Linked DNA regions of Diceros bicornis minor. The protein of the gene in region 2 purifies or fractionates together with the protein of the main gene of each other region. This does not show direct contact. Links are inferred from orthologs where the notes say so. Each region holds a gene or a part of one and is shown on either strand. Other genes may lie near its edges.

Region 1 (7,023 bases), on a different chromosome or scaffold from region 2:
CAAATTTTATGCCAACTGAAATTTTCACATGAGCAAATGTTACTTTTATAATAAACTAATAAATAAAAATAAAGTCTATTAGCTAGAATTAATTCAGCAAGAAGTTGAAATTAAAGTTGCACAAGTGTTACAAAACAGGCTAAACAATTTGAGTACTCTAATTTCCTCTTACCAATCACAGACCTAGTATAAAACTAAATATTTGCAATACCAGCATGTATATTAAATATTTATTAAATTTTCAGATAGAAAAATATCCTTAGAAATTTCAGCTAAGAATGGTAATGCAATATATTAAAGTGATTATAAAACCACTGGGAAAAGATCTAGTCTTGGCTTACTACAAATTTGGCCCAAAAAAAAAGATTTTAAGAGCCTGATTGATTACAAATTCCTGCCACAGCCAAGTGGCTACTGCGATAACCTACTGGTGGAAAATTACTTAGTCACAATTCTTGTATAGAAGGTTTCCAGTAAGCACACCACAATATAAGGCAGCAGATCATTTTAAGAAATTTTATTAAAATATTTACAACATAATGAGCTTACATGCAATCCATAGGAATCTACATCACACTTCATAATACTGCCTCAGCATATAAATGTCCACTCCCAATCAAATATCCTTTCATAAAGTGAACACTGGCAATGCTCGACAGGATTCTGAAATCTAAATATTCTTCATTACTAAACAGTAAGGACACAATTTCCAAATTTTAAATATTGTAAAAAAAAAAAAGTCAAATGACTAATGTTAAGTATTAACCGTGTGCCAGACAGTACTATTTGTCGCTCATCTTACTATTCCTAGCACAGATCCAAGCATATAGTGTACATTTAATTGGCACAAATGAAAAAAGAAATGAGTATTAAGTTCTTTGATAGGATTCAAAGATATTTACAAAAAAAAAGTCCCTGCCCTCAAGGAGGTCACAAATCGAATTAGGAAACATAAACACATGAAAAGCTAAATAACATATGACACATAGCAGGATATGATTATTCGCAAGTTGTGGCAAAGAGAGTGCTATCAGCTCTGACCGGAGTGAGAGTGGTACGGATTGCGGTTCTTCTGGTCTCCCGACCAGTGGGCGACACTGTATTGCAACGTAAAAAAATAAAGTGACACAGCATTCACCCCACCCCGAAATGATCAGCAGAGGAAGGAATACAATAACCAACGAGAACGGTACAGGAAGACCTGCCGGCAAGGCTTGTAAAGCCCACGGGGCCTGGAAGAAGGCAGAGCATCCACATGCACGACTGCTGATTGGATCTCAGGATGAAACAAGCCTCCTAGGAACAGCATCTCCTGACCACTGCCCCCTCCGACCCCCACGAAGCCTGCCAGTGGACAGCGCCCCAGAACTTTCTCCAGCATCCGCAGTGACAATCCTCTCCCCTCCCTCCCCGCGCCGGTACCTCACCCGGAAGAAAGAACGGGGGGCGGGGGAGGAGGACAGGAGAGAGGGCGCTCCCGCAGCAGAAGGAAGGCGAGGAGGAGCGGGGGCCGGCCCGCATCCCCCACCCCGGGGCACGCCCCCGCCCGCCGGACCCGACGAGAGGCGGTGGACTCGAGTGACAGCCCGCCACCTGTGCCGGCCCCCCTTCCCGCGGCGCCACGCCGCCCCCCGCCCCTCTGGCAGCGGCCCCGGCCCCTGTCTGTCCCCTCCCGAGGAGAGAGAGTGACAGGTCCCGGGGGAGGCGGCCGCACGCGCACGCCGCCCGGGACGGTTGGTGCAACGCTCCGCCGCGGCCCTCCAGTAGGCAGCGCGGCGCAGACAGAACGTTCCGGACGGCGGGGTGGCACTTACTGCGGAGGTTGTGGATCAGCTCCGAGTGGCTGGCGCCGCCGGACTTCCAGGCCATCGCTAAGCACACCCGGAGCAGGAACAGAACGACCTTCAGCGCGGCGACGGTGCCCAGCAGCTTCCCCAAGAGTGAAAACACCTCCCACACAGTCACCGCCCTGCTCGCGTCCCCGATGTCGCCGCCGCTGTGACTGCCGTCGCCCCCGCCGCCGCCACTGCGCGCTCCCGGCATCCCCCGCGGCACGCATGCGCTCTGTGACGCCCCACCGGGGCGCGGCCGGGTGGGGGGGGGCGCGGCCACGTGCCCCGCCGCCCGCGCTGGTGGCCGCTGCGGCAGCCCGGCCGGGCTGAGTCAGCCCCCCGCCGCCGCGCGCCGTCTCCTTGCCGGGTGGCCTGCGGCCAGGCGGGTGGGCACCGGCGCGGCCGGGCGCGTGCCCGGCTGCGGCTCTGGTCACCTGGGGCGGTGGCGGGGCAGCTGGGCCGATCTGGTTCTGCCGCTGCGGAGGCTCCGCAGTCGCGCGGGGTCAGCTGCTGCGAGCGGCGGGTCTGCTCCTATAGCCGTCCAGATTGTTAGACGGTGGGTTTCCTCCGTCCTACCTCACCCAACCCAGTTGACTAATGCATAGGTCGGTTACCGTCTGAGCCTGATTAATCTTGGTAGAACCTTTTCTAACCCGGGTACTCTAGCCTCTGGCTTTGTGACAAGTCCATCAGTGTGTGGTCAGCAGAGACCTTGGGACCTTGGTTTGTTCTCAACTCTCAAGCACAAATTCAGAGTGGAAGAATACCATGACATATGGAGTAGGGTGGAGCGTGGGGGATGCTCTGCTCCTTAGCACAATGCAATTGGTTAAAAATACCACAGTATCCTATGGCGAATGTGTTATTCTCCCGACACGAGTGTGCCTTTTCAGCTAATTAAGCCTTCCGCTGTTAGACTGGACACCAGCTTTATTGCTATCAGCTGTGCAAGACAATGATCGAGAAGCTGACAGGGAACATTGCCTGTCGCATTGGTTGGATTAGGGCACTCCACTCCCTCTGGGTCCCTAGCAGTCTTCTCCAGGCTGAGAGCCTCGGGGGTCTGCTGCCTCCCAGGGTTCCTGGGCTGGCCCTACAGGGCGCACAGTCATCAAGAACTGCTTGGGGGAAGTGAGCTGTTTAGATATTGCTCTGGTGAGTAGAAAGTGGGCACTTGCCCCATTAATGCTTCCTGGCTGGTGGCTTCCATAGCACCCCCATCTCTGCAAATACACTTTACTTTGTAAAAGAACTTCCACTGGTGTAGAGTCTTATTTGACTCACCAGGAGGCGAGCCCACTTGGTTCAGTAACAATACGTCTTGAATGCAATAGGATTTACATTCTAATTGGGGAGATCTGCACCCAAAGAAAACTAGCAATAGAGGGCAAAATATAAGTGCTATTAGTGGTCTAGATATCAAGTGCTATGTTAATTTAGATCGCATGGGCTGGAGTAATAAGGAAAAGATACAGGGCAGAACTGGTCCTTGAAGGATGAGCAAGATTCTGAGAAGGAGAGAGGAATAAAAGGACATTATAGGTGTAATCAAAAGCAGAGAAGAGGGAACCTACAGCACCGGTTCCTGGGCTGTCGACGTTACATATCAAACTCATTCTTAATTATATTCATAAATGAATTGAGGAAGGTTACACAGCTAAGCAATGGGTGTCAAAACTCGAACTGGAGTCTTCAGAATTCCAACTCCAGGCTCTGACAGTGTATTAACAAGGATTTGTTTGGGGGATAAAGAGGGAGAGGTTTAGAACAATAAACTGGTCCGTTAATGGACGTACTTCCTTGACAATGTAAGGACTTTGAATCTCTTTTATGCGCAGTGAAATGCAAGACTGAATGCTTGGGTGTGGCTCTGAGGCGGCTTCTCTTGCATTGATTTCGTTTTGTTTTGGCTCTTCGGTTTGTTTTACAGTGCACGATTATCGCACAAATGCACTGTCTCAGTGTCACTACACTGAGCGTGCACATTAAGAGCAGGTCCTGTAGCACGAGGCCCGTACACTCTTGCTTCTGTTCGGGGTCGCCTCGGTGAGCAGGGGCTGGTGGCGCCCGCAGCGCCGACGGAGGAGGATTGGCTCTCCGCGGCCACCGTCCGCTCGTCGAGTGCGGGCCAATCAGGGCCGCGCGGGAAGGGGCGGGACCGAGAGGCGCGCGGCGCGCTCCTCGCTGTACCTGAGGCGGTCGCTGTCGCCATGGAGGAGATTTATGCCAAGTTTGTGTCTCAGAAAATCAGCAAAACCCGCTGGCGGCCGGTGCCTCCGGGGAGCCTGCAGACCGCAGAGACCTTCGCTACGGGCTCTTGGGACAACGAGGTACCGCCGCCTCATCCCGGTCTCCCGGACCGCGCCTGGCCCCAGCCTCCCTCGCCCTTCTCTGCCCCCGGCCTCCGTCTCGGTTGCCCTGCCTCTCGAGCCATCGACGGTGCGCCTGGGCCTCGCATCTCGTTGTGATTTAAACTGTCACCATGCCTTTTGTCTGAGATGCTTTTTTTTTATTTTTTTAAATTGATGTCATAATAGTTGATACCACTGTGCGATTCCACTTGTACATTATTATTGGTCAGTCACCACATATATGCGCCCCTTCACCCCTTGTGCCCACCTCCCAACCCCCTTCCCCCTGGTAACCACCAGACTGTTCTGAGATGCTTTTAAAGCAAGGTTATTTGAAGGCATTGCGAATTTTAATTTCCGAGAGGTTAAAGTAGATTTCATCTCAGGATAAATCTGTCTATTTTACAGGAAAATCGTGTTTCCCTGTGGTCTATTGGCGATTTTGGGAACTCGGACTCTGATGGAGGGTTTGAAGGAGACCATCAGTTACTGTGTGACATCAAACACCATGGTGACGTGATGGACTTACAGGTAAGTCTGTGGAACGTACGAAAGCTAACTTAAAGAGCGGAGAGTAATACATTGAGAGACGCAAAGGACCGTAAAGTTTGTCTAGACTCGCCCCGGTTTACAGGAGACTGAGTTCTCTATAGGTTATGATTTGCCAAAATCATGACTGGGGAAGGAGATGTAGATTTAAGCATAGTTTTTTAATCCTTTTTTTAATTAACTGACCTTCTGCTATGTGCCAAGCACTGTTCTGGGAGCTTTACATAAGTTAGTTTAATTCTCATCACATGCTTGTGAATCAGGTATTATGTCTTTTACCAGTGAGAAAACAGACTAAGACCTTTTGGGCATGTACTATGTGACAAATACTGTGCAAGGCACTTGACAGGTTTTGCTTTTTGAGTTCTCATAACAACCCCCTAAGTAAGGATTAGTTCTTTCCTCTTAAAGGTTTGCCAGGACTTAGAGAACTTAACTTGGCGACAGTCTCAAAGTCAGTAGTAAGTGGTGGCAATGGAATTAAGTTTTTAAATCCTGGTCTGCATGACTTCAAAGTCCTGGCAGTCCTGATTCTGTAGAAAGCTCCCTAACCCTGGAATGATACTTTTCTAAACCTTTACGGTAGTGGTCCAAAATTAAATCAATTATAGGTGAATGAGTTTAGGGAAAAAATTATTGTTATTTATTCTTCATGAAAATACTTTTATTTGTATAGCAGTTTTGACTTTCAGATCTATCATCAGATTTTATTTGCTTAGCATTTATAGCTCTTCACATCTTAAAATTGTTATACTACTGAGTTAAACTACTAATATTTCTGAATCTATAACGAGCAGGAATTTTCTGTTTAGTTTTTTGACCAGGAAAGGATTGTAGCTGCTTCATCAACAGGATGTGTAACAGTTTTCCTTCACCATCCAAATAACCAGGTAAAGAACTTTTTTTGAAAACTGAATTTGTATTTTAATTATTTATAGGAAGGCTTAAAGAAGACTGTACTTAATGACACAAATAAAAAGTTTTATAGCCTGAAAACATGGAGAGGAAAAATATCACCATTATATTACCTATCTTTTAGTAGATTAATTCTAGAACCATGTTTGTGTGAGCTTTTATTGAAATTCGACATCTCTTAAATAAATTCTGTTAGTTTAGAACTAACAATATGGTATTCTGGCAAGTGATTTTCCAGTAATTCTCTGTTTTAAGTTTCTATTCTAATCTTTTGAAGAAAAAAAGAGCACATTCTAGCTAAGGTATCATGAGAGAGAACAAGAACAGCTACTTTACTTCTGTGGATAGAACCCAGGTTTTAATTAGAAGAGAGGATACACTCTATGAAGACTTGGCACTTTTTCAATGCCTTTCGTGTATGCTGAAGCCCACAAGTGGTCACTTTCAAAGAGTAGCAGTGAGGGCAAATCTTTACAATAGCCCCACTTGTAGTAATAGTTTTCAGTTGCTAGAAGAGAGTGCTTATTTAGATTTTTGGATTAATAAAGGTCACCTTGTGGATAGGCATATGTAGTAAATATAAGACCCAGATCTTGTTAAATATTTTTCTGAATCGAGTCATTTAGAAAGCACTACAGGGAGTTATTTTTTACATGTAGGCTAATTCTCTTAAGAATTTAGAGTTACTTTTGAACACATGACTACCTGGTACCTAAAACCCATTTCTTTACTTTGCTATATTGGGCCAGCCCCGTGGCTTAGCGGTTAAGTGCACGTGCTCCACTGCTGGTGGCCCGGGTTCGGATCCCGGGCGTACACCGAAGCACCGCTTCTCCGGCCATGCTGAGGCCATGTCCCACATACAGCAACTAGAAGGATGTGCAGCTATGACATACAACTATCTACTGGAGCTTTGGGGGAAAAATAAATAAATAAAATTATAGTTTGCTATAAATGTGGGACATTATTGAGCAGCATTCATTTTGAATCTAATCCAGTGTATACAGAGCTTTGTAGAGTAGTTCTAGACTTTATTACTCGGAAATACAAACAAAAAAGGAGAGAGTTATTCTTTTTCTCGAAGGGTATGAGACAGAATTTAAAAATACTCTTGAGTTGGGGAAAAGTGCTAGGTGTTTAGAGCTTTGCTTTGGTTAATCATCTGCTCGTTTCTGATGCCCAGACTCTGTCAGTCAGCCAGCAGTGGACGGCCGCTCACTACCACACGAGCCCAGGCAGCCCCTCCTGTTGCAGTGCACCCTGCACGGGTATCGTGTGCAGCAACCCAGAAATTGTCACAGTTGGAGAAGATGGTCGGATAAATCTTTTCAGGGCTGATCACAAGGAGGCTGTGAGAACTATAGGTGAGAAAAACC
Region 2 (7,918 bases):
GCCTTGTGTTTGCCTCTCGGAAATGCCCTCAGTTAATGTCTTCTGGGTCAAAGGGTGTCTGTGGTGGTCCTACCTGGCTCTGCCTTGGGCTCTCGCTGTGCCTGGCCTCTGCATTTGTACTGAGTCATCTTCCTCCTCTCTGTTCTTTTAACCCCCTTTCCAATGGGGCTAAGAAGTGGCCTCAGGAAGAAGACAGGTGGGAAGACTATTGTCAAACCTATACCCACTCAGCTTCTATCCCAGAGCAGGTTACTTTGTTGGCCAGAAGACTGAGGGCTTTGAGCTATAAACTAATCCTACGTTCCTCCCACCAGAGAGCGACCAGACTGCCACAGCCCTGCCAACCCACAGGGTGCTGCTGGGAGGCTGACCACACCCCTGAGGCTACAGCCTAACTGGTAAAGGCTGCAAAGCTACACTGGATTCATGAATGATCAACAGAAATGTTTCCCTCCCACAGAAATGCCCATGTCCACAGTGTGGGAGGGAGCGCTAAGGGAATACTTACAATCATGTCCTCGTGGGAGGTGTCCACAGTGTTAATTACTGACACCTAGAACCAAAGTTATCATTGGTAAATGAACTGATGGCAGTTAGAATACAATCATGTCATTAAATCCACAGATCATTTCTAAAGCTCTTGACTTCATTTGTTCATTCATTCATTCAGTAAACATTCACTCTAAGTACCTTCTTTTTGCCAAGGGGTTGGAGATATAGACACAAATAAGAGGTACTTCTTGCCCCTGCGAAGCTTGCACATAAGTAACCTGAACATGGCAAGATAAATGCTCTGACGGTGGTTACGAGTGCTGTAGCAGCCTAATGGGCCACTAGTGGTAGACACCAACTGGGGCTTAGATGAGGAGCAAGTGCCAGGTGGCACTGGGAAAAAACACAGTCCAAGCAGAAGGGGATAACAGGAACCAAGAGGGGGCATAGCAAGCAGTCCTCGCTACCTTTGGGGGTGAAGAGGGTCCCTGAGGGAGCTGTGGCTGGTGTTCCCTTCCAGGATGACAGAGGCTCACATGTTCCAGGCAGTTTTTTGCATAACACGGTTAATACCTAAGACCTGGAGAACTGATTCAAGTTTCTCCTGAGGCTGCTTCCTGGCCCACCCCCTGTGACAGATCTCAGACTGTCACCTACTGATCCCGCTCAAATGATGCCCCCCTTTTTGAAGATTCCCAGATCCCCCAAGTGGCAGGACTCCTCTGAATATCTTCAGCACTGAATGTCTACAACACTTGACGCTGTTTCTTCTCCCAACTAGGTGAGCTCCCTCAAGCCAAGGTCTGCGTTGGCCATAGTTTTGAATCCTCTCAAATCACCCAGCACAATGCTTTGCAACCAGAAGGAATGAATAAGCAAACGAACAAAAACAGACAGTTTTACTTTACTCAACCACTGTTCTCTTCAAACTCCCGGGATTGAAAAGGTTTCAGTTTGGAACTGATATTTCTTACCATTTCCCCATTTCATCCTTTTCCAGCACAAGACCTGCAGGTATAAAGTCTGACTTGACTTTTCAGAAAGGTGAACACTGGAAGAGGATGGCTGCCAAGCAGTCCAAAAGGTACACATCAAGTAAGCACAAGTTCTCTCACCGAAGTCTAGACTCCCTAAAAAGTGGGCCCCCTCGGTCTGCAAAGGCAGGTAAGGAGGATAAAAGAGAAGAGTCTCTTACGTGTGCCAAGCTGTCTAGATTACAAAGTGCCATCACATGTGCAGTGGGAACGATGAAGAGCAGAGTTAATCAGAGCTGCCTGACAGACTAAAGAACTGAAGAAGCCCAGAGAAGAGAAAGCACTTGCCAAAGTCCCAGAGCTAGATAAAGGTGGAGCTGGGAAGAGCCCCACCTGCTAACTCCCAGCCCACCGAGCTTTCCACTCCACTAGTCTGCTCATCTAGAACATAAAGTAGTTGTTACATCCAATGCCCTAAATCACTGGCTGAGGGCTAAGGAGAGTCAGGAAGAAAATTCACTGGTAGTTTCATACCAGCTAACCAAAGGACCTCAGAGATAACCAGCACTTACTTTCAACTACTCTCACACCCCAGACAGGATTGGTGAACCCCGCTTCTCAACAAGTGCTTTTTAAGAAAACAAAACAAAACCCTTTATTAAAAAGTCCTTCCTCCCAAGCACCTCAAGTCGTCTGGTCCTTGTTAAGTATTAAGAAGCAGCCCTCACAATTCAGCTCTTCAGAATCAGTTAACGAGTTAAAAGTCCATTTAGAACGAGCTAACTGTCAGAGCACAAGACCCCAACTCTTCTCAGCAGCTGAGGAACCAGAGGCTAAAGCAGATGCACGATTCGCACCCGCGCCTGCAGGGCAGGAGCTGCAGCCAGCGTCTGGACTCCCGGCTCCCCCGGGCTCCCTCGGGGCGCAGGCACGCCTGCCTTCCCGACCCCCGCGCCGGGCTCAGGCGGCCGTCCCTGCACTCCCGGAGCCGCGCGGAGGGCGCAGACACGGCCCCGCCGCAGGGCCGCGCAGCCCCCCGCACAGCGCCGGGCGCCCGCCACAGCGGCTGCCGAGAGCGGCGGCGGCACCGGGACTGCTCGGGGCGAATCCCGGCTCGGGCCCTCGGCGCGCCGCAGGCCTGGCCTCTGGCCCCGCGGCTCCGCGCCGGTCGGCGGGGACGGCGACGGCGCCCGCTCGAGGGCCGCCGGCGGGCTGACTGCCAACCACGCCGGGCTGCCCCCGGGCTCGGGCGCAGGAGCCCCGCGGGTCGGGGGCTCTTTCCAACCGCCGGGGGGGGAGGAGAGGACAGGCAGGGGCGCGCGGCGCGGCCGCACAACTCCGGCGGGGCCCGGGGCCGCCCCTCTGCACCCCAGCCGCCCGGCGGGGCAGGGCCGGAGCCCCCAGACCTCGGCGCGGCAAGGATCCCGGGAGGCCGCGACCCGCTCGGCGCCCCGGCCCCCACGCTCACCATGTCTGCAGTGTGCCGGCTCCGGCCTCGGACGTGGCAGCTCCCGGCGGCGCCTCCGAAAGCCTCACTTCCGTCGCCGGGCCGGCAGGCCGTGGGGCCCCGGCGCAGGAGCCTCCGGGCAGCAACGCGCCAGCTCACACCAAGGTTCCGCGCTTTCCAAAGGCCGCCCCCACCTCTCCCCCCGCGGCCCCGCCCCTTCTGCTTGCAGAACGCGCGAGACTCGCGGGGTGGGGTTCTCGTTCCCCCGGCGACCCTGACCAGGGGCTTTTGGAATATGAAGATCTAGGCTGTCTTGCTCTGGATCAACCCTTCCCTTTTCCTGAGATCCGTATACGAAAGAAAGGATTCACACCCACAGCGTCACCCGCCTGTCTGCGGTTCTGGGTGCGGCCGGCCTTGTGATGACCATTGTAGGTTGATTAGTTCTGGGGGGAGTCGGGAGACCGGTCCTCGTGCTTCCTTGTTGTTAGTCCCTCCTCAGGACCCAAGGCTGGGACCAGGGGCAGAGAAGTCCAGGAAATGCCCCCTACCAGAGGCTGAGCCCTCTCCAAGCCGGGGGACCCATGCTCCAAACTGCCCCTTCCTCGGAGAGCTGGGATCCCCTGAGTCTGGCTCACAGGTAGAGCCCCCAGGCAAGGAGGGATCTCAGCCAGGCTCCTGCAGCTAGAGCCGGGACCCAAGCCCCGGGGCTCCTGACCCCAATCCCCGCTTCCCACAAGCACAGTGAGAACGCTGCACTGCTGGACAGGGCCGGGGGCTCCCTCAGCCACACAGATCTGGCAGCCCTCGGCCGCTCATGGCAGTAAGGAGTCCGGTGACTAGGGTGGAGACTAGACTCTGCTTGGGTACGTCGCAGTCCCTCCATTTCCTCTTTTGAAACTGGAGGTGAGAACCCTAGCTGGAGAGGGTGCTGCTTGAGGGAAGATGTTAAGGCTCAGAGAGTGGGACACACCCAGACCATCAAGGAGCTTTGGAGCGGGGGCCCAGCGAGTGGCGTCTCACAGAACTCAGGGCTGGGCCTCTGGGCAGCAACCCACCCTTCCACCCCCACCCCAGCTTTCAAGACTCCTCACTTCCCTCTAATGGAGAAATATTGGAGGGGTGTGAAGGCGTGCCGTTAGGGCGGAGCAGCCAACAAAGGGGCGGGGCTCTTGGGCCCCCTGTGTTTCAAGGGACAGGCCCTGGCCTTGGCTCTGTGGCTGCACCAGTGATTCTCTGGGTGATAAGGTCAAATCACTTCTCTCTGAGCCTCGCCTTCCTCAAGTGGACATGGGGACAATGGCATATTAGATATAATACAAATATAATGCATGGGGCATAGTGGTTATTAAAGGAATTCCTTGGTGTTGGCATTGAAGTTGGAGAGACTGGGGATTTGGGACAAGGAATGCAACTGTATCTTATTCATTAGGGTCTTTGCTGGTGGGACTGAAAAGCATTATAACATGGAGGTTTTGAGTGCTGATACTGGGATCAAGACTGCTAAGTATCAGTACTGACTCTCCTACTTACTAGGTGGGCACACCTTCCACCTCTCTGAGCTGCTGTCTCCTCTTCTGTCAAGTGGGAGTTATAATACCTCCTCTGAAGGTGGATCTTGGGATTAAAGGGACCCTTGGATGTGAAACGGTGTTTGGAAGTTGGATGGGCCTGTGGTGCTTGATCTGGGGATCAGTTCTCTCTGAAAAGAGCTGGGATTTGTGTGTGTGTGTGTGTGTGTGTGTGTGTGTGTGTGGTGTGCATGTGCAACCCTCACCCTTTGTACCAACACTGGGACCATCTCTTGATCTGGGCACATTCTCATTCTCCGCTGATGTTCAGCAGAGGTTTGCAAAGTTCAGACTCTTAGGGTGCCAGGCTCCCCTCTGCCTTCCCCTTCCCTAGTAGGGGATGCCACCTACATCCCATGTCCATATCTCCCATCACCTCCCTCTGGTTAATCCCAGACCCCAAATCAGCCCATTCTTAGTTTTCTCCAATTTGTGCCCCTACCTCCCAGACCCTCTGCCCCTGAATCTCCTCCTCCTCCTGAGGCCCCTTCCCCCAAAGTCTTGCTCTCTGGGACTGTCAGCCATTCCTTGTGAAAGGTTAATGACTCATGGCAGGTTAAACTTGTCTCCCTTGAACGGTGGATGTTTGAAAGGTGTGACTAGGTGGAAGGAAAGAGACTTCCCACTGCGCTGTGCACCCTTGGGCAAAGTGCCTTTCCCTCCCAGGGATTCAGTTTCCCCCTAAGTTCAAATCCACGGAGGGTAGGGACCCAGCTAGCCTACGGAAAAAGGCCTTGTGATGTGTACCGTGTCTGCATTTCCATGTGTGCATTTATTGTTATTGCTCAGTATAGTGTTGAAAAGGCAGACAAATCCCATTAATTACAAAGAGCACAAGCCAGAGATACAGAGAAATAAAGAGTGTACAATAAGAGCACAGTCATTTCCCAGCCCCGATTGTCCCAGAGCCCCCCAGAGCCCCCCAGAGCCCAGGCAGCTTGTGGAAGCTGGAGGTGGCACCATTTCCTCGCTACTCTGTTATAAAATATGTGTACACAAGAGTTAGCAAAGTGTGGTGACCCCAGAGAGGAAAGGTCCGGAGGGAGAGCACCACAGGCATTACAAAACAGACTCGGGGCTGAGAAGGGCGGTCCGAAAGCGGCCTCAAATCTCTTGCTTTTGGTGGAGGGGGTGATGGCTGATGCCCAGGGCCTGGGACCCCCCCGGCCCCCACTCGGGTGGGTGGGATCTCTACGTCAACGTCAGGAGAGCTTGCTTTGGAACTTGGAGAAGACTTGGGGATTTTCTGCTGTTGTCTGGTTTAGGCCTTGGCTCTGGAAGACCCAAAAGCCTTCTAGAAATGCAACCCTGCCCTGCTCTTCCAATGGTGGGATCTCAGAGACTGTGGAGAGAGTTTGGGGTGCGAGGCACGTCACAGTGCACCCGGGTGACAGCCTCCTGTAAGTAGAGCGAGAACGGGGAGGGGAGTCCGGGTGGTGAGAAAGGCCAGGCAAGAAACAGCTGCACCCCAAAGGGCCTGTCACCCAACTACTGAAAACTCCGAACGAAGAGCAAGAGTTGACCCTCCCCCAAAGAAAAGCAGTTCAGGAAAGGGAGACAGGAATAAATGTTTCTCCATGAGGAGAATTAGAAATAGAGGCAACTGGGCCCCGCATTCTGGTAGTTCTGGGTCTGGGGGACACCCCTCTTTCTCATCTGGACCAGGGCAGATGGAGGGGCTAGCCCAGCACAACCAAAGGGGGTGACTTTGGGTCTCAAACTGAGATTGGGTGGTGGCTCGGTGGCCTCTCTGATGACACCCTGGCTTAGGGGACAGGTGAGATGATGGGAGGAACATTGGGCTTCCCTCAAGATTCAGGGCGCCCTTTTTGTCTCTCCTCACAGGACACTTTATTTAACGAGCCTGAGTGGACAGTACTTCCAGTGGCGGGATGTTTGCACATAGAATGACAGGGCCCAGTATTTGGGGTGGGAGGAGGGGAGAGGTGGAGGACTTGGCAAAATTTTAAAGTTTACTTGGAAGAGTAGATGTGAGAGAATAACCAGGGAATTTTGTAAATTTTTGTAAAAAACAAAAAAGAGTGAAGGGGACTTGTCCCAGCACATATTAAAACATTATATAAAGCGACAGTAATTAAAACCATGTGGCTGGTGCCAGATGAGACACACAGATAGGGGAACAGAAGAGAAATTCCAGAAACAGACCCACATTTATCTAAGCTGTCAGTCTGCGGTAAAGGGGGCATTTCAGGATGGCTGGGGAAAAGTGTGGCTCTTCAGTAACTGGGATACCCAGGATAAGACAGGTCCAGAGTCCCTGCCCCAGTGCAGTCATTGTCATGAGTCTGGTGTCAGAGGCAGGGCACCCTCCCTCTTGTCAGCTCTATGCTTTGGTTGGGACAAGGGGGCAAGGGGCCATGGTGAGGGGTTGGTGGGAGCAATCGAGGCTGCTTCTGGGTTAGGGAGAGCACTGCTTGAGTCGCAGGAAGGAAACGCCTGAGTTTCCTCCCTGCCCACCTTAAAGGCAGGTGACTCTACAGCCCCAGAGGTCACTGAATGGGCCCCTGCTCGTCCCTCATCTGTTGGAGGGAGACAAGTTGGTGAGCTTAGACCTCAGAAATGAATCTGCTGCCTTCTCCTGGAGCCCCTGTCCAGAAGACAGAAAAGAAGCTAAGAGGGTGGTCCAGTCCCAAACAGAAAAAGTATACATTACAGAGTATATATTTACTATGTTCTGTTTGATGTTGGTTTTTGCCCTTTTTTTTTTTTTTTTTTTTTTTTTACACCACAGACATTTCAGAACCACACTGCTGGAGTAAGAAGAGTCAGCAATTGAAAGCATAACCGTTGCATAGTAGTAAATGAACAGAGACGGTGAGTTCTTTATTTACAATTATTGTCTAGATAAAAAAATTCATAAAAACAGATGAATGGTCATAAATTATTTACCCCCTAATGGGGTGAACTGCCAAACGTACCCCATGCTGCTAGATATAGGACGCAGAGTGCAAGCTTTATGTACTACAGTGAGTTTTGACAAACCAATCATTTCCTGTGTGTGTGGATGTGTGTGCAAGTGTGAGAGTGAGGGTGCGTGGGTGAACAGCCATCATTCCTGACCAGAGAAAACCAACAGCAATGTCGGGCACTCTTGGTAGCGCCGTCGCTCCCTGCTCCTCAAGCTAGGCTCCACTCAGAGAAGCCCCTCCTGTCTTCCTCGCGCGCTGGCTCCAAAGGAACAGGGAGCATGGTGTGCAAGCGCAGCTTCCCTGGTGTCATGGAATAAGGTCATGGACACAAGATTGGAACAAAGAAGCGGGTGGAAAACCTTGACAAAGGAAACGACAAAAAACACCACGTTCCAAGGCTGCCCCATGTTTTACGGGTGCAGGTCTTTCCTTTCTCGGCAGGAGAGCTGTGGGCTGGCTTTTGGCGGTGGTCGTACTGGAATCCAATCTGCGTATCTGAGGGCT
Region 3 (7,397 bases), on a different chromosome or scaffold from region 2:
TTCCCCATGGCCACTGACCGAGTGTCCCACAAATTTAACTCAATTCTCACACTATCTACCTGGAGATTGCATCAGATTCCACAGACTAATGGCTCAGTCCCAAAAGACTGCCCCCACTTCAGATGCCAATTGCAAGTCTAGGTTGTCACCTGTGCTTCTGACCCACTGGCTACAAATCGGAGGTTCCCACAACCCTCTCCTTGGGTTCAATTAATTTGCTAGAGGGGCTCACAGAACTCAGGAGACCAATTTACTTACTAGATTACCAGTTTATTATAAAGAATATCAAAGGAGGGGCCGGCCTGGTGGTGCAAGCAGTCAAATGCACACGCTCTGCTGCAGAAGTCTGAGGGCTCGCTGGTTCGGATCCTGGGCGCACACCCACGCACTGCTCATCAAGCCATGCTGTGGTGGCGTCCCATATAAAGTAGAGGAAGATGGGCGTGGACGTTAGCCCAGGGCCAGTCTTCCTCAGCAAAAAGAGGAGGATTTGCAGATGTTAGCTCAGGGCCGATCTTCGTCACACACACACACACAAAAGAATATCAAAGGAATCGAATGAACAGACAAATGAAGAGATACACAGAGTGGGGTCTTGAATGCAGGAGCTTCTGTCCCTGTGGAGTTTAGGGCCTGGCACACCGATGCATCCTAGTTCACCAACCTGGAAGCTCTCTGAACTTCCCCCCTCTGGGCTTTTATGGAGGCTTCATTGCATAGGTATGATTGATTAAATCATTGGCCATTGGTGACTTAATTCAATCTCCAGCCCCTCTTCCCTCCCTTAAAGTTCCAGCCCTCTAATCACGTGGTTGGTTCCCCTGGCAACCAGCCACCTCCTTAGGTTACCTAGGGACTTTCCAAAAGTTACCTCATTAACGTAACAAAAGACATCTTTAGCTCTCTCATGTTTAGGGAATTCCAAGGGTTTTAGGAGCTCTGCGCCAGGAACAGGGATAAAGACCAAATATAATATTCTCATTATAAATCACAATATCACCGAGGTGATTAGGTGATAAAGGCGGAGCCCTCATGAATAGTATTAGTGTCCTAATAAGAGACCCCAGAGAGCTCCCTTGCCCTTTCCACAATTTGAGGACACAGCAAGAAGGTGGCTGGCTATAACCCAGGAAGCAGGCCCTCACTGAATCTGCTGGTGCCTTGATCTTGGACTTCCTAGCCTCCAAAACCGTGAGAAGGAAATGTTAGTTGTTGAAGCCACTCAGCCTTTAGTATTTTGTTACAGCATTCCAAGAAGAAACACAACAATATAAGCGATGAATAGGAACTGTTATCTCACAGTGTATTTGTAAAACGAAGAGGCAGGCAGAGCAAGAACAGATTAAGATCAATAGGGAGTTGTTTCAATGATCTGAGAAGGAAATGTGGAAGACTGTAGGAGGAAAATGAAACAGGCAAACAGCCATTGATGATTAAACAGCTAGTAACTATGGGGGATTGGAATTTGCCAACTCAAAATATGTCTCTGCCCGAATGACATTTGACCCCCACCCCCACTAACTGAGCAAAGGAGTTTGGGATGGGAGGCCTGCCCACAGAAAAGGCCATTACTATAGACATCTCTGGGTACCTGGGTGGGTCGTGATAAACCCATCCTTAGTTCTAGTAACCCTTTATGAGAGACATTTACATTGGTAAAGAAAGTCTCCATTTGTAAAGGTATCTTCTTCCCTGCACCAGGAAGAAGGGGGGATGGCCTTACCTAGAAACTTATCAGAATGGAAGGAGAGGACTTAAATCTGCATGATAAACTTATTCATTGTTAACTGTGCTGTTTGGGCAATATGCTATCTGACTCCCACTAGGTTCCTATAGATGACATCTCCCTGGAGCCTGGATTACCATGGTAATGGGTGTTTGAGCTATTTTTTTTCAGGAACTGAGCCCTTTGTCCACTTCAGGCCAGACTGAGACCACCAACCCATCAACTGGGCCCTTTTGATGGCAAGAGGTTGGAACTCCACCCTCAGGGCATGTTAATGCCGCCATTCTGTGACCATGTGTCCTACGAAGAAACATGAAGCCTGACTACACTTGCGCAGATCATCAATGACCTCATCTCTCCTCACCTCCAATCATTTCAGACCACATTGCCCCCTACCCCATAAATACCCCTGAGCCCCTATTTTTGGGGAAGCGGATTTGAGACTTGTTCTCCCGTTTTTCTCACTTGGCTGCCTTGTGATTAAATCCTCTCTCTCTGCAATCTCGTTGTCTCGGTGATTGGCTTTCTGGGTGGCTGGCAAAAATGGACCTGGTGCAGTAACAAAAAGTTCCTGATATCTATTGCTGCCTAACAAACTACCCAAAAACTTAGTGACTTAAAATACCGACCATAGGGGGCTGGTCCCATGGCCGAGTGGTTAAAGCTGCCTGTGCTCTGCTTCCAAGGCCTGGGTTCACGCGTTCAGATCTCGGGCGCGGACCTACACACCACTCATCAAGCCAAGCTGTAGCAGGCATCCCACATATAAAGTAGAGGAAGATGGGCACAGATGTTAGCCCAGGGCCAATCTTCCTCAGCAAAAAGAGGAGGATGGGCAACACATGTCAGCTCAGGGCTAATCCTCCTCACACACAAAAAAAAGATGCTGGGAAGGAGGGAGGGGTGGTGGTAGAGGAAATTCTCTTTGGATTGCATTAATTTTCTAACTGAAGAAGCAGGCTGAGTGAAGATGAGGAAGTGTCACCGGCTCTGGGCCTCCAGAAACTCAAAGGTGGGTTTGGAAGCAATTAACTGTTTTTCCAAGTTGTTTCTTTTCCTTTTGTGTGTTAAGGAGACGTAACCAGCAGCCATCCTGAAACTGACCAAGCCTTATTTTTAATGCAAAGATCTCTCCAGGAGGAGCTTAGGCCTCATTATGTGGAAGCATGTTCTCCAACTGAGCCTGTGCAAGCGAATACCCAGCTCCCCCTTTTGAATATTCATTCCCCAACCAAATAAAAGTTCCTGTCTTCCTTGGTTCGGAGAAGCCATGACTTTGGAAATGATTCCTTATGGCCTCCTACTTGCTGCAAATCACGCTTTACTTTGGGAGACAACTTCCACTGGTGCAGTCTTATTTAACTCACCAGGAGGCGAGCCCACTTGGTTCCGTCTCAGAGGGAGGTGTTGGATGAGTTGCGAAATACTCATCTAGGAAGGTATACAGACAAGGCAAACACAATGCTACAATGTCTGCTGGGCAGCAGTATGAGCCCCCCCAAGGTTTAGAATCATGATGGAGGCAGAGGGAGTGTGTCAGTGTAGCTGTATATGTCTCTCCAGGCCTGTTCAGCTGCCAATTTGGAGTTAATCAAAGTCGTGTTTTTTTACTGGAGAATGCAGATAGACAGCTAGGCAAGAGACTAAATTTAAATGGAATATAAGCAGAGCAAGAAGGAAACATCAAGGAAGTGAGGGACAGTGAAAAGGTGGTAGAAACAATGGATTGGAATGGAGGGATTCCCTTGCTAGAGGTGGTGTCCTAGAAAGAGTGAGGTGGAAAGATATGGGAGAGTGGTCAGAATAGGTTGAATGAAACACAGAATGATAAGGAAGGATTTCGGTCATTGGTAATGAATAAGAAGTAATAACAGACGTGCTTAACAAACGTTGACCATCAAGGGGGAAAAAAAAACCTTTCCCCCTGAAAATTAGCATTTTCCTCAATATTGAGCTTTACTCTGCTCTAGACATGGGTAAAGCTGCAGTATCTTCCAAACATCCAGATCACAGGTGGAACAAAGGCAAATTCCTTTCAGGTATGCAAAGGAACAGCATTTAGGGAATCTCAACAGGTTGCGGCATCCATGTTTAATTGCACACATCACGTTTTATTATACGAGCATATAGAATTCATTATACAAGAATTCCAACACGGAAGGCCCCTCTCCTCTTCATTCCCCCCCATCCCACGTGTCGCTGAAGGGTGAAGAAAAGGAGAGATTCGCAGGCCGACACCACGACGCAGGGAGAGGTGACCGCAAGCTCGGAATCCGGCAGGGGGCGCCCATGTGCCCGGCCTCGCCGGCCCTCGCCCCTCCCGGGAGGCTCAGCCCCCCGCCCGCGCGGCGTTTTCAAACTGGAAACAAGCCCGGCCCCGCCCCCTGCCTGAGGCGGCCGGGAAGAGGGCACCGCCCCCCGGAGGCGTCCCACCCGGCCACGCGAAGGTCCCCGGAGGGAGGGCCGGCTCCCCGCCCCTTTCTCAGCTGGCTTCCTCGCTGCCCACCCTCATACCCCCGCCAACTCCATTGAAGCCTCCAAACGACGGGTCGACCCCGCCCCTCTGCTCCCCCGGCCTCGCCACCTGTGCGCGTCTCCCCGCCCCGCCCCCGGAAGTGACGACAGCCGCCCGGCCTGCCAGTGTCCCGTCGGGCCTCGCGGCGGCGGCGGGAAGATGGCGGCGGCGGGAGCCATAGAACGGAGCTTCGTGGAGCTCAGCGGAGCTGAGCGCGAAAGGCCGAGGCACTTTCGAGAATTCACAGTCTGCGGCGTTGGTACGGAAGCAGCCAAGGAGGGCGCGATCCTGTCCTTTCCCTCGGGTTCCCCTCATGGGTCCCCAAATCTCTGACCCCCTAGTTCATCTTCCTGAATCCACATGCCTGTAGCTCCGGGTGCAGAGCTCCCTTAGTGTCTTCCTTGTTTTCTTCCCTTTCTTTTTGTAGGAATTGTCAATCTGTTACCCTCTGCTTTCTCAGCGCCATCAGTCCCTGTCATCCCCCGAGAACCACGTGTGTGGCTGACCACTCTCCTTTTGCAGGGACTGCAAATGCCTTGGCCGGAGCAGTCAAATACAGTGAGAGTGCGGGAGGCTTCTACTATGTGGAAAGTGGCAAGTTGTTCTCCGTCACCAGAAACAGGTTCATCCATTGGTAAGTACTGTGTTCGCCAAACCCCTAGGGTGGTTCGGCGTTTGAATTTCCGTGGCTGTTCCCCAAGTGTCATTCTCCGAAACGGTAATCGATAGGAAAAGAGAAAAACTGTTTTCTATTCATATCTGAATCAGGAGAAAATTAAGGAGACACACAATTCTAGGAGAGATACCCTCCCAGGCAGCAGTAGAAGCAGAGGAAATGTAGCTTAGAGGATAAAGCCTCAAAGACCAGTTTTGTACATGGACCCATTATGTTTTTATAGTGCGTTATGGCTTTCTTCACTCTACAAATATGTTTGAGCTTTTATACATCAGGCATTGCTAGGTGTACTAGGGATGAAGTGATGAACAAAAACAACCACCATTTTCATCGTGCAAGATGTTGTAGCAGTGTAATGATAGATGTGGACCCACCCTTTATGGGGCAGTATTTTTTTTTGTTATAATTTTACTTATTTATTTTATTTTTCCCCCCAAAGCCCCAGTAGATAGTTGTATGTCATAGCTGCACATCCCTCTAGTTGCTGTATGTGGGACATGGCCTCAGCATGGCCGGAGAAGGGGTGCGTCGGTGCGCGCCCGGAATCCGAACCTGGGCCGCCAGCAGCGGAGTGCACGCGCTTAACCGCTAAGCCTTGGGGCCAGCCCTGTGGGGCAGTTTTAAAAAGAAAAAGACTGATGATCACAATATAGGTACACAAATACAAACTTTTCATGCTTACTTCAAAGGAAAAGTATAGGGACTATGAGAGGCTAATAGGAGGACTAAATTTTATTGGTAGGGCTGGGAAAGCCTTTAAGAAAGTCACATTTAACCTGAGATCTGAAGGATGGAAGGGTAGCCAGGCAGGCGGTTGGGAGAGAGAGCAGTTCAGCAAGTGGGATCACCATATGCAAAGTCGGTGAGGTAGAAAGAGCTTGGCAGGTTTGAGGAATTGACTGAAGGTCTGTGTGGCTTGAGTGCAGTGGGTGAAAGGGAAAGTGATGTGAAAGATGCTGAGACTGGGGAGGTAGGCAGGACTCAGATCATGAAGGACCCTCAGGTCCTTTTTAAGGATTTTGGATTTTATCCTAAGTACATTGAGCACTCATTGAAGGGTTTTAAAGGGTTACTAACATGATCAACGTTGTATTTTTTAAAAAATCAGTCTGCTTTGTGGAAAGTGGATTTGGGTTGAATGGGTATAATACAAAAGAACAGTTTGCTTTTATGATGGCCCAAGTAAGAGACGCTGGTGACCCAATTGTAAGAGTGGTTAGGAAAAGAAAAATAGATGAATTTAAGATGCGTTTAGAAAGTAGATTCACTAGGACTTGGTGATAGATTGAATATGGGGTGGGGGATGGTAAGGGAAAAGGAGGGAGCAAGGGCAACTCCCTGGTGTCTCATGTGGCCAGTCAGATATTGGGTGGAGCAGTTGCCATTTACTGAGATGCAGAAGACGAGTTTAGAGAGATGTGAATAATGCTTTTAGATGTACTACATTTGAAGTATCTATGTAGCAGCCCTTTGGCAATGTCAAGTAGGTGTTGAAATTTGCAGGACTGAAGCTCAGAAGAAAGGCCTGTGTTAGAGATACAGATCTCATTTATTTAAGAAATATTTTTGAGTGCCTAATGAATTCTAGTTAATGTTTAGGGACTGGTATAGGGGAGGGACAAAGCTGACAAAGTCCCTGCTTTCATGGAGGGAGACGCACTAAACAATAACCAAAGAAACCATGTAAATATAGTTTGTCAGATGATAAGTGGAATAGAGAACGGGGAAGCAAGATAAGAGGGGAGGGGAACACCTATGGGTGTTAATATTTTATATAGGTTAGTCGGGCAATACCCAGGGATAAGTTGACATTTGAGCAGAGGAAGTAAAGATATTTGGGGGACAAGAATTTCAGGTAGAAACTTTCAAGAAAAAGGAACCAACAGTGCAAAGAACTCTGAGACAGCAACTTGTTTGTTGTGTTCAAAGAATGGCAAGGGGCCAGGAGTCTGCAGCTGAGTGAAGAAAGGATAGGATAATAAGAAAGGTAACCCAGGGCCAGATCAAGGCTTTGTCAGTTATTTTAGGCTTTGACTTTTACTCTGAGTGAGATAGGAAGGTTTTAATTGGAGAAATGACATGATCTAAGTTGTGGGGTATTTTTGTTTTGTTTTTTGTTTTTTTGCTGAGGAAGATTTGCTCTGAGCTAAGATCTGTTGCCGAAGATTAGCCCTGATCTAACACCTGTGCCAGTCTTCCTCTATTTTTTATGTGGGACGCCGCCACAGCAGGGCTGGTGAGTGGAGTAGGTCCATGCCCAGGATCCAAACCCGGCCACCGAAGTGGAGCGTGTGGAACTTTAACAACTCAGCTACAAGGCTGGGCCCTCTAAGTTATGTTTTTAACGGATTGGTGTGGCTGTGGGTTGAGAACAGAGTGTAGTGGGAAAAGAGTGGGAGCAGGGAGACTGATTAGGAGGTTGGTGCCACAGTCCAGGCAAGAGAAGATGGCAGCTTAGACCAGCATGGTGTCGGTAGAGG
Region 4 (7,550 bases), on a different chromosome or scaffold from region 2:
CTCCCCCTCTGCTGATTTTGCTTAGTATCTTTTTGCTGTTATAAATTATAGCCCTGAGCACGACTATCTGCTGAGTCCTCTGAGTTCTCTTAACAAATCATCCAACCTGGGGGTGGTCTTGGGGGCCTCCTGACATAAGGCCTTGTAGCTTTGGTTCCTTCTCTCTTGGTACTCTCAGACTGCCATATGAAGAAGTCCAAGCTAGCCTGCTGGAGAGGCCGTATGGACGAGAACCAAGGCGCACCAGCTGACAACCAATACCAACTTACAGACATGTGAGTGAGGCTATCTTAGACTTTCTGGCCCCAATCAACCTGCCAGATGAACTGCACACACATGAGTCATCCCAGGCAAGATCAGCAAAACCACCTACCTGAGTCCAGCCCAAACTGCTGATCTATAGAATCCTAAGCAAATAAAATAGCTGTTTTTAAGCCACCAAGTTTCGGGGTGGTTTGTTACACAACAGTAGATAACTAACACAATAGCTAATATTTAGGAGCTTTCTTGGTGCCAGATACTTTTCAAAAGCTTAATATTTATTCCTTCATTCAATCTTCACAAGAGCCCTATGCGGAAGTCTATTATTATCCTCATTTTACATCTGAAGGTGATGCCCCACGTCACTCAGCTAGCAAATGGCCAAATAGACCTAAACCCGAGATGCCTAACTCCGCAAGCTGTGCTCTTAAATCACTATATTGCATAACTTCTCCTGACGGACAAAAGCTTTTCAAAATAATTGGATGTAGTTGCAATGTTTTACATACCCAAGCCTATATCAGGTAGCCAATTCCTTTCTCTGAGTTTACAGACATGCCTGCTAAAAGTTTTTTGTTCCTACTTTCTTTTAAGTACCCTAGTCTCCAACATATTCACATGCCATTATCTTATTTTGAGTATTTTACTGTACACATCCTATTTACTTACTCCTTGTGCTATCTTTTTCTTCTTTTTTTATGTGGCATAAACAGAATCCCAGATGTTTACTAGGAATCTTGGGTTTATATGATCAAGAAAATGGGCATATGGCTAGCCAGCCCTGATGGCCTAGTGATTACAGTTCGGCATGCTCCACTTCGGGGGCCGTGGCCCAGTTCCCAGGCGTGAAACCACACCACTCATCTTCAGTAGTCAGGCTGTGGGAGTGGCTCACATAGAAGAACTAGAAGGACCTAAAACTAGAATATACAGCTATGTACTGGGGCTTTGGGGAGGAAAAAAAAAAAAAGAAGACTGGCAACAGACGTTAGCTCAGGGCAAATCTTTCCCAGCAAAAAAAAAAAAAAGAAAGAAAAGAAAATGGGCATATGCCATTTACAAGATAATAATTTATAGACATAATCAGTGATGCAATTTAAAGACAGGTAGAAGACTATAAATTAAAATATCTACATAAATACAAACCCTAGTAAATAGCTAAGAGTTAGATTTCCCTTATCACCCTCATCTCTTACAAGAAAAGAAAGTGAAGAAGTAAAACTCCAGTGATACGATCAGTTTGCCTGAAATAAATCTTTAGTAGTAAGTTATTTACTGGTACTATTTAAAAGCACTATGAGTTCAGGTTGCTAACAATGAAGACTAGCTGGAATTAGACTGTTCTGAATCCTGGCTCCATGACTTACTAGCTGTAAGATCTTAGCCAAGTTATGTCACCTCTCCTGCCTCGGCTTCCTTGTACTGAAAATGAAAATGATAGTTCCTATCTCATGGGGGTTTGAGAAAAGTAAATGACATAAATACAAGTTAAGTTTTTAGAGCAGTGCCTGGCATATATAAAAGCCAACAGTCTCATCCAGGGGTCAGCATACTTTTTGAAAAGAGCCAAATAGTAAATATTTGAGGCGTGCAGGCCGCAAGATCTCTGTCACAACTACTCAACTCGACCTTGCAGTGTGAAAACAGCCACAGACAATACATAAACAAATGAGCGTAGCTGTGCTTCAACAAAACTTTATGGAAACTGAAATTTGAATTTCATGTAATTTTCACGTCATAAAATATTATTCTTCTTTTGGTTTTTTTTTCCAACCATTCAAACATAGAAAATCCATTCTTAGCTCAGGAATTGGCTGCACAAAAAGAGGCAGTGCCACTGGTTTGCCAATCCTGGTCTAGTCTCAGCTTTTCCAGTAGCTAGCTGGCTGTGTGAGCCTACGCAATAAGCTTTACACCTGACTGCCTAGGTGGAGGTATCAACACAAAGAAAACAAGAATAACACCTTCCAGCCAGTTATGAGAAGTCAATGAGACAGTGAATATGCAAGCACTTTGAACGTCAGGCTGCACTATACAAAAACAGCAGTAGAAGGCAGCAGTGATAATCAACACTTGTTTTAAAAAACTGGATTCCAAGCTGCACTGGAGCAAAAATTGTGAGACAGAAAATTGTCACTGGGGAGGCAATGTGAGATGGTTAAAAGAATTACACTTGCGAGTCAGACAGACCAGAGTCCATATCCAGACTCCCCTATTTATTAGCTGTATGTCCTTTAGTATTTAAAATCTCTGATGAACATACATTTCTTCATTTGTGAAATGGACACGATAACGCCTAACTCATACAACTAGGAGATGTTAGTGAGACAAGTAAAAAATCCACATAGTGCCGGGCACTTAGCAGGTGCTCAATAAAAAATGGCAGTCGTTGCCGCTATCATTGGCGGAATGCAGGTCCTAAAAGATCCTTGGGAGGATATACTAGGGAGACGGGGAAAGTGGCGGAATTGGAGTCTGCGCACGCTTGGGACTAGAACCCTGGTTTCCTAAGTAGATCTCTATGGGCCTCAGTCTTCCAGTCGGCAGATGATCCCTCAGGACCTTCCAGCTCCATCCATCACTAGATACCGTGACTCTGTTCAACATCCCCAGACCCAACCAGGCTCCAGCGCGAAGCCACTGCACAAATAATACCCTAGACGGTCACACGGCACTTTACTGTCACCGAAAAATCCTCCCAAGCCGCGGCTTAAATCACCACTTGAATTGTGACAGGCGGACGAGAAAGAGTCAAGACTCACCTGGCTCGAGGGAGACCTGTGACACACAGACTCTACTGAAGAAAACTCCTGCCCGGCTGCAGTGCAGCGGCTGTCCGAGTTGTCGCGGGTTACATTTTAAATCTCGCGGGAGGGCCCAGGAGCCAATCGCCGCTCCCGCCCTCTGACCCGGAAGCAGAGCCAGCGCGGGCCGGCGTAGCCCCCAGCAGAGATCAGCTGCGTACTGGCTGCTTCTCGGCGTCCTACGGTGCGTATTGCTCTGGAGCCCAAGGGGCCGTGCCGCTTTGTTACCGGCCGCCTCGCTCTCTCACCCTGTCCCTGGGAGTTCCTCCTCTCCCCGGGCCGTTCCCCACCCCTCTTCGCTCCGATCTCGTGCTCGGAGAGGGGTAGCGAGGTCTCGCGGGACTTGCTTAGCACTGGGAGAGGCGTAGGGACTCTAGGCATGGACTTCTGTTTCCTCCCTTTTCTGCCCTTACAGTTTTAGAGGGGGCAAGTCCAGCCCGCTGTGTACAGTGAGAGCCTGAGAATGCGGTGAGACTGGGCACTGCTTTAATCAGAGCACTCGGGCACCGAGTTTGCTGACCTCGAATCTTTTGCACTCCCCACACCACTGTGCCTCCGCGGGCGTCTCACCTGCTGGTCACGCTTAACAAATGTCCAGTCCCGGATGCCCACTCGTGAGGTTACTAGGTGATAAGCTCCCTGAGGTGGGATTCATCCCATCTGATTCTCAGTAAATGCTCATCAGGTACCTGATGTGGTTGTTACCAAGCCCAGCTGTTTTCAGGACAGCTCTTGCGTCCAATTAAAAAAAAAAAAAAAAAGACCTCTTTATAATCCGTAAGTCTTATCTGGGAATGCTGCTGCTTCCGGAGTGCGCACCAGGCCATGACAGATTAAAGTGTTGTGCCTGGTTTTGTGAATATTATTTTTGTATCACACATTTTGGCACTCCTTCCTCCAGGTGCTATATTTTGTATCCGCTTATCTATAGCACTTTGCATGCTGAATCATAACTATCCCTGGATTGTGATCTCCTTCAAGGTAGGGGGCTGTGTTTTTCTTCTCCAGTACTGGTCCAACACATAGTAAAGTATTTTCAAATTCTGGCTCATCCTATGAGTTTGGCAGGCTGGTTAACCTCCTAAAGTCTCAATTTCTCCATCTGTAAAATGGGAACCAAAGGTAGTACCTCCCTCTTAGCTTTATGCGAATATTAGGTGTGATAATGTCAGTAAAATTTAACATGATACCTGCAAATAGTGCTGTGTGAATGTTAACTGTCATTAATTTTTTATGAATATATTTACTATTAAAGTGATTCCATCTTCAAGGACTCACTGTTATTTGTTAGATAATCTAAACAGAATTTCATGGTGATTTACTCTGCAGGTATCATTCACAAAGTATTTAAATAAATACTTTCAATTTTTTTGAGTTGTCTGTGGCATTTGCAATGCCAGGTCCTTACTTTGATTCATTTGCTGAAAGTGACTAACACTTGGACGGTTTCTATCTAACTGTGTCTGTATTGTAATCCACAGTTTTCATGACCTTGTCCAGTAGCAGGCTATTTAATTTGTACAACTGCTGAAGTCTTGACATACAAGATGAAGCAAGATGCCACAAGAAATGCTGCCTACACCGTGGATTGTGAAGATTATGTGCATGTGGTAGAATTTAATCCCTTTGAGAGTGGAAATTCAGGAAACCTAATTGCCTACGGTGGCAGTAATTACGTGGTCGTTGGCACGTGTACATTTCAGGTTAGTGTACAAAACTGCAGTGAATGACTAAAGATATTTCACTGATAATAAAACTTATACAAACTTTGGCAAACTTTGGCCAGAATTTGAAAGTGTATTGAGTTTGAATGTAAAAAAAAAAAAAAGATATGAAGGACTACAGAGAAAGATATTCCTAGTAATACATGCCTAAGATTTGTGCAAACGTTGAGTAGATAGTGAAAAAGAAGAATATAAGGCTTCTCTTTTGCCTTATGATTAGAAATGGAACATTCTGGTAATTGAAGGTTACAATTAACTGAACATTGGTATATACAGGGAAAACACCAACTAGAAAGATCTAATTAATTGCTTAATCCAATTTTTCTACATTCCACTTTGACTTAGGAAATAAGCTAATGTTGAGAGCCTAACAAATGATCCTGCAGGAGATTTTATAGCTGGCATGACATTCAGCTTTGCTGTTAATATGCTCTCATACTTTTTATACTTCTAAAGCACACATCTAGTGTATACAAAGTATACTTTGTTTACATATTATTTTTTTATTGGTTCCTATTGAACAGACAGTTTAGTATGGTCATTAAGACAATGAACTCTGGAGCCAAAATGCCTAGATTTCTACCGTTGCCCGGCCTTTACCTCTTAATAGCTATATGACCTTGAGCAGGTACTTAACCTCTCTTCTATAAAAAGGAGGAAAATAATACTTAATCGGTTTTGTGAGACTGTAATGAGTTAGTACATGTAATGTTCCTGGAAGCCATCTGGTGCATATAATACATGTATATGTTTTAGCGGTCACTGATTTGGTCAGTGGTGACGCTGAGGTACAACCCCATGTTTAATCACCAAAGAAAGATTGCTTTGTGGTGAGCACACACCGTGTTTTCTCACAGGAAAGCTAATTCTACGTGTTGGAGAGACTTTGAACAATGAGAGTTCAACCCCAGGAATCTTTATCCTTTGTGTACCGGAATATTATTCATAGAACAGTATTTCTTAAAGTTAATCAATGAGGTAATTTGGCAGTCACCAGTTTTCAAAGATTTAAAATAACTATCGCCAAAGTGACATTATTATAAACAGTATTTCCTCTTTTACTCAAAAAGCAGTTCAGTATCTTTTAGCATTTTGACATCATAAATGCAATTTTGCATTTTACAGTGCAATAAATATATAAAGTTATACAGCATTAGACTGCATGCATATTTATCCTAAGGGGAAAGTATGAATTAAAGGCTTCAGTTTCTTGGTGTCTGGGTAGAATACAAGAGCGTTTACGTTATCCCACCTTGTCTGTTAGGGTTGAGGGAGGAATTTCTAGCTTTTACGCTAAATATGACCCTCAGCCTGACTTCAGCTGGACTACCAGGTTAGGATCATGAAAAGTCACATGATTAAGTGAAATAATATAACACACTCTTGAAAAAGACTGAAGGGAAACCGTATTTCTAATGCAGGCTACTAACCTACAAAAAAATAAAGCAACCCCCTACAGGTGAAACTAACGTTTTACTTCATTACTTTTAATATTAACAGCTGTGAACATAGAATTATATTCAAAAATACTGAAAAAATACGCTTTATCTCTAATTTATGTTCAGCTAAGAAATGAGGGAGAAAGTCAAGAAGGGAGAAAAAAATTCGGAAAAAAGAAAGGCAGAAGTACTGGGTGGCAGAGAGAAAAAATGAGAGCAAAAGAGGGCAAATGACAAAATGAGAAAAAACAACTAGCGAAAACGTTTGTATTGTTCCAGTATGGTTTGTAGTCATATGGGTTGTCCCCGTTGATCCTCAGACCTGTGAGATTGGCAATGTAAATCTTATCCTCAAATTACCTAAGGAAAGAATTGGATTTTTATTAATTTCACAAGTAGTGAACACAAATTGTATTCTGTGCCAATCCCTGTCCTCATGGAGTTTCCATTCTACTTCAGAGATGTTCAGGGATTTGTATGACTAGTAATTGAAAAAACAACATCTAGACTCTTTGAAACCCTGTTCTTTTCCTTCTATACTGCTATTCAGATAGGTTGAAAACATAGTTCAAACAGTTCTGGAGGAGAAATATGTTCCAATAATTTGCCCCTGGGGATTCAGAATACATTATTGCTTCCCTTTGAAGTTATTTTTTATCTAATTAAACACTATTAAATATTGTTCCTGTTCTCATGCTAGAACCTTGAAGTTCCATAGCACTTGGAGAGAAAACTAAGTAAAAGTCAGTTGTATTGAAAGATTTTCACATTCCTGTATGAAAGACAATCCTCATTCTGAGTCTATTAGGAAAACACTTTTGATGTAGTGAATTTGAATATCAACAAAGCATTTTTCAGAATCTCATGGTGTTCTTTTAAATATGATAGAAATTTGAGCTGAGTGATGGTACTGTTGATTGGTGTCGTGTATTTGTAAAATATTCATTAAGTGCAGATCAGGTGCTGGGAACTAGTAATGCATACGTTAAAAAAGCAAAGACCCTGCCATCAAGGAGGTGTTTAAATGTAAAGCAACACAATAAGAAAACTGTTATAAACATCCTATGTGTAGAGGGCAGAGGAAGCATGAAGGTTTCCAAGTCTGAAAAGTCATCAGTAATGAATTGAGGCCTCTACTGGGACTTGGATGAGAACAGTTGATTTAGGCGAGCACATTCAATTTATATAGAACATGAAACAGAAAGATACCTGATGTTTTGGATAACAGACTTCATTTAACAAATATTTATTGAGCACCTTTTGGGTGTCAAACTCTGCTCAGAATCCAAATATTGTTTAATAGATTGGATGAATGGGCCAAG

What was found.
Region 1: the proteins of SEC13 (region 2) and NUP43 purify together in Homo sapiens (affinity purification with mass spectrometry; 3 studies listed by BioGRID and IntAct, counting the BioPlex papers as one, with this or other methods). This does not show direct contact. The link is inferred for Diceros bicornis minor from reciprocal best matches to the Homo sapiens genes SEC13 and NUP43.
Region 3: the proteins of SEC13 (region 2) and NUP160 purify together in Homo sapiens (affinity purification with mass spectrometry; 4 studies listed by BioGRID and IntAct, counting the BioPlex papers as one, with this or other methods). This does not show direct contact. The link is inferred for Diceros bicornis minor from reciprocal best matches to the Homo sapiens genes SEC13 and NUP160.
Region 4: the proteins of SEC13 (region 2) and NUP37 purify together in Homo sapiens (affinity purification with mass spectrometry; 5 studies listed by BioGRID and IntAct, counting the BioPlex papers as one, with this or other methods). This does not show direct contact. The link is inferred for Diceros bicornis minor from reciprocal best matches to the Homo sapiens genes SEC13 and NUP37.

The regions. Positions count from the first base shown.
Region 1 is NC_080778.1:28,162,112-28,169,134, reverse strand, and holds the start of NUP43 (nucleoporin Nup43), read left to right. Parts: upstream 1-4,015; 5' UTR 4,016-4,042; coding exon 4,043-4,162; intron 4,163-4,591; coding exon 4,592-4,714; intron 4,715-5,544; coding exon 5,545-5,622; intron 5,623-6,830; coding exon 6,831-7,011; intron 7,012-7,023. Other genes in the region: PCMT1 (protein-L-isoaspartate(D-aspartate) O-methyltransferase), read right to left, coding at 1,815-2,043. UniProt on the Homo sapiens protein: Component of the Nup107-160 subcomplex of the nuclear pore complex (NPC). The Nup107-160 subcomplex is required for the assembly of a functional NPC.
Region 2 is NC_080741.1:86,341,603-86,349,520, reverse strand, and holds the start of SEC13 (protein SEC13 homolog), read right to left. Parts: upstream 3,015-7,918; 5' UTR 2,938-3,014; coding exon 2,935-2,937; intron 554-2,934; coding exon 509-553; intron 1-508. UniProt on the Homo sapiens protein: Functions as a component of the nuclear pore complex (NPC) and the COPII coat. At the endoplasmic reticulum, SEC13 is involved in the biogenesis of COPII-coated vesicles.
Region 3 is NC_080770.1:22,679,941-22,687,337, forward strand, and holds the start of NUP160 (nuclear pore complex protein Nup160), read left to right. Parts: upstream 1-4,385; 5' UTR 4,386-4,400; coding exon 4,401-4,500; intron 4,501-4,763; coding exon 4,764-4,875; intron 4,876-7,397. UniProt on the Homo sapiens protein: Functions as a component of the nuclear pore complex (NPC). Involved in poly(A)+ RNA transport.
Region 4 is NC_080764.1:21,258,916-21,266,465, forward strand, and holds the start of NUP37 (nucleoporin Nup37), read left to right. Parts: upstream 1-4,532; 5' UTR 4,533-4,612; coding exon 4,613-4,768; intron 4,769-7,550. UniProt on the Homo sapiens protein: Component of the Nup107-160 subcomplex of the nuclear pore complex (NPC). The Nup107-160 subcomplex is required for the assembly of a functional NPC.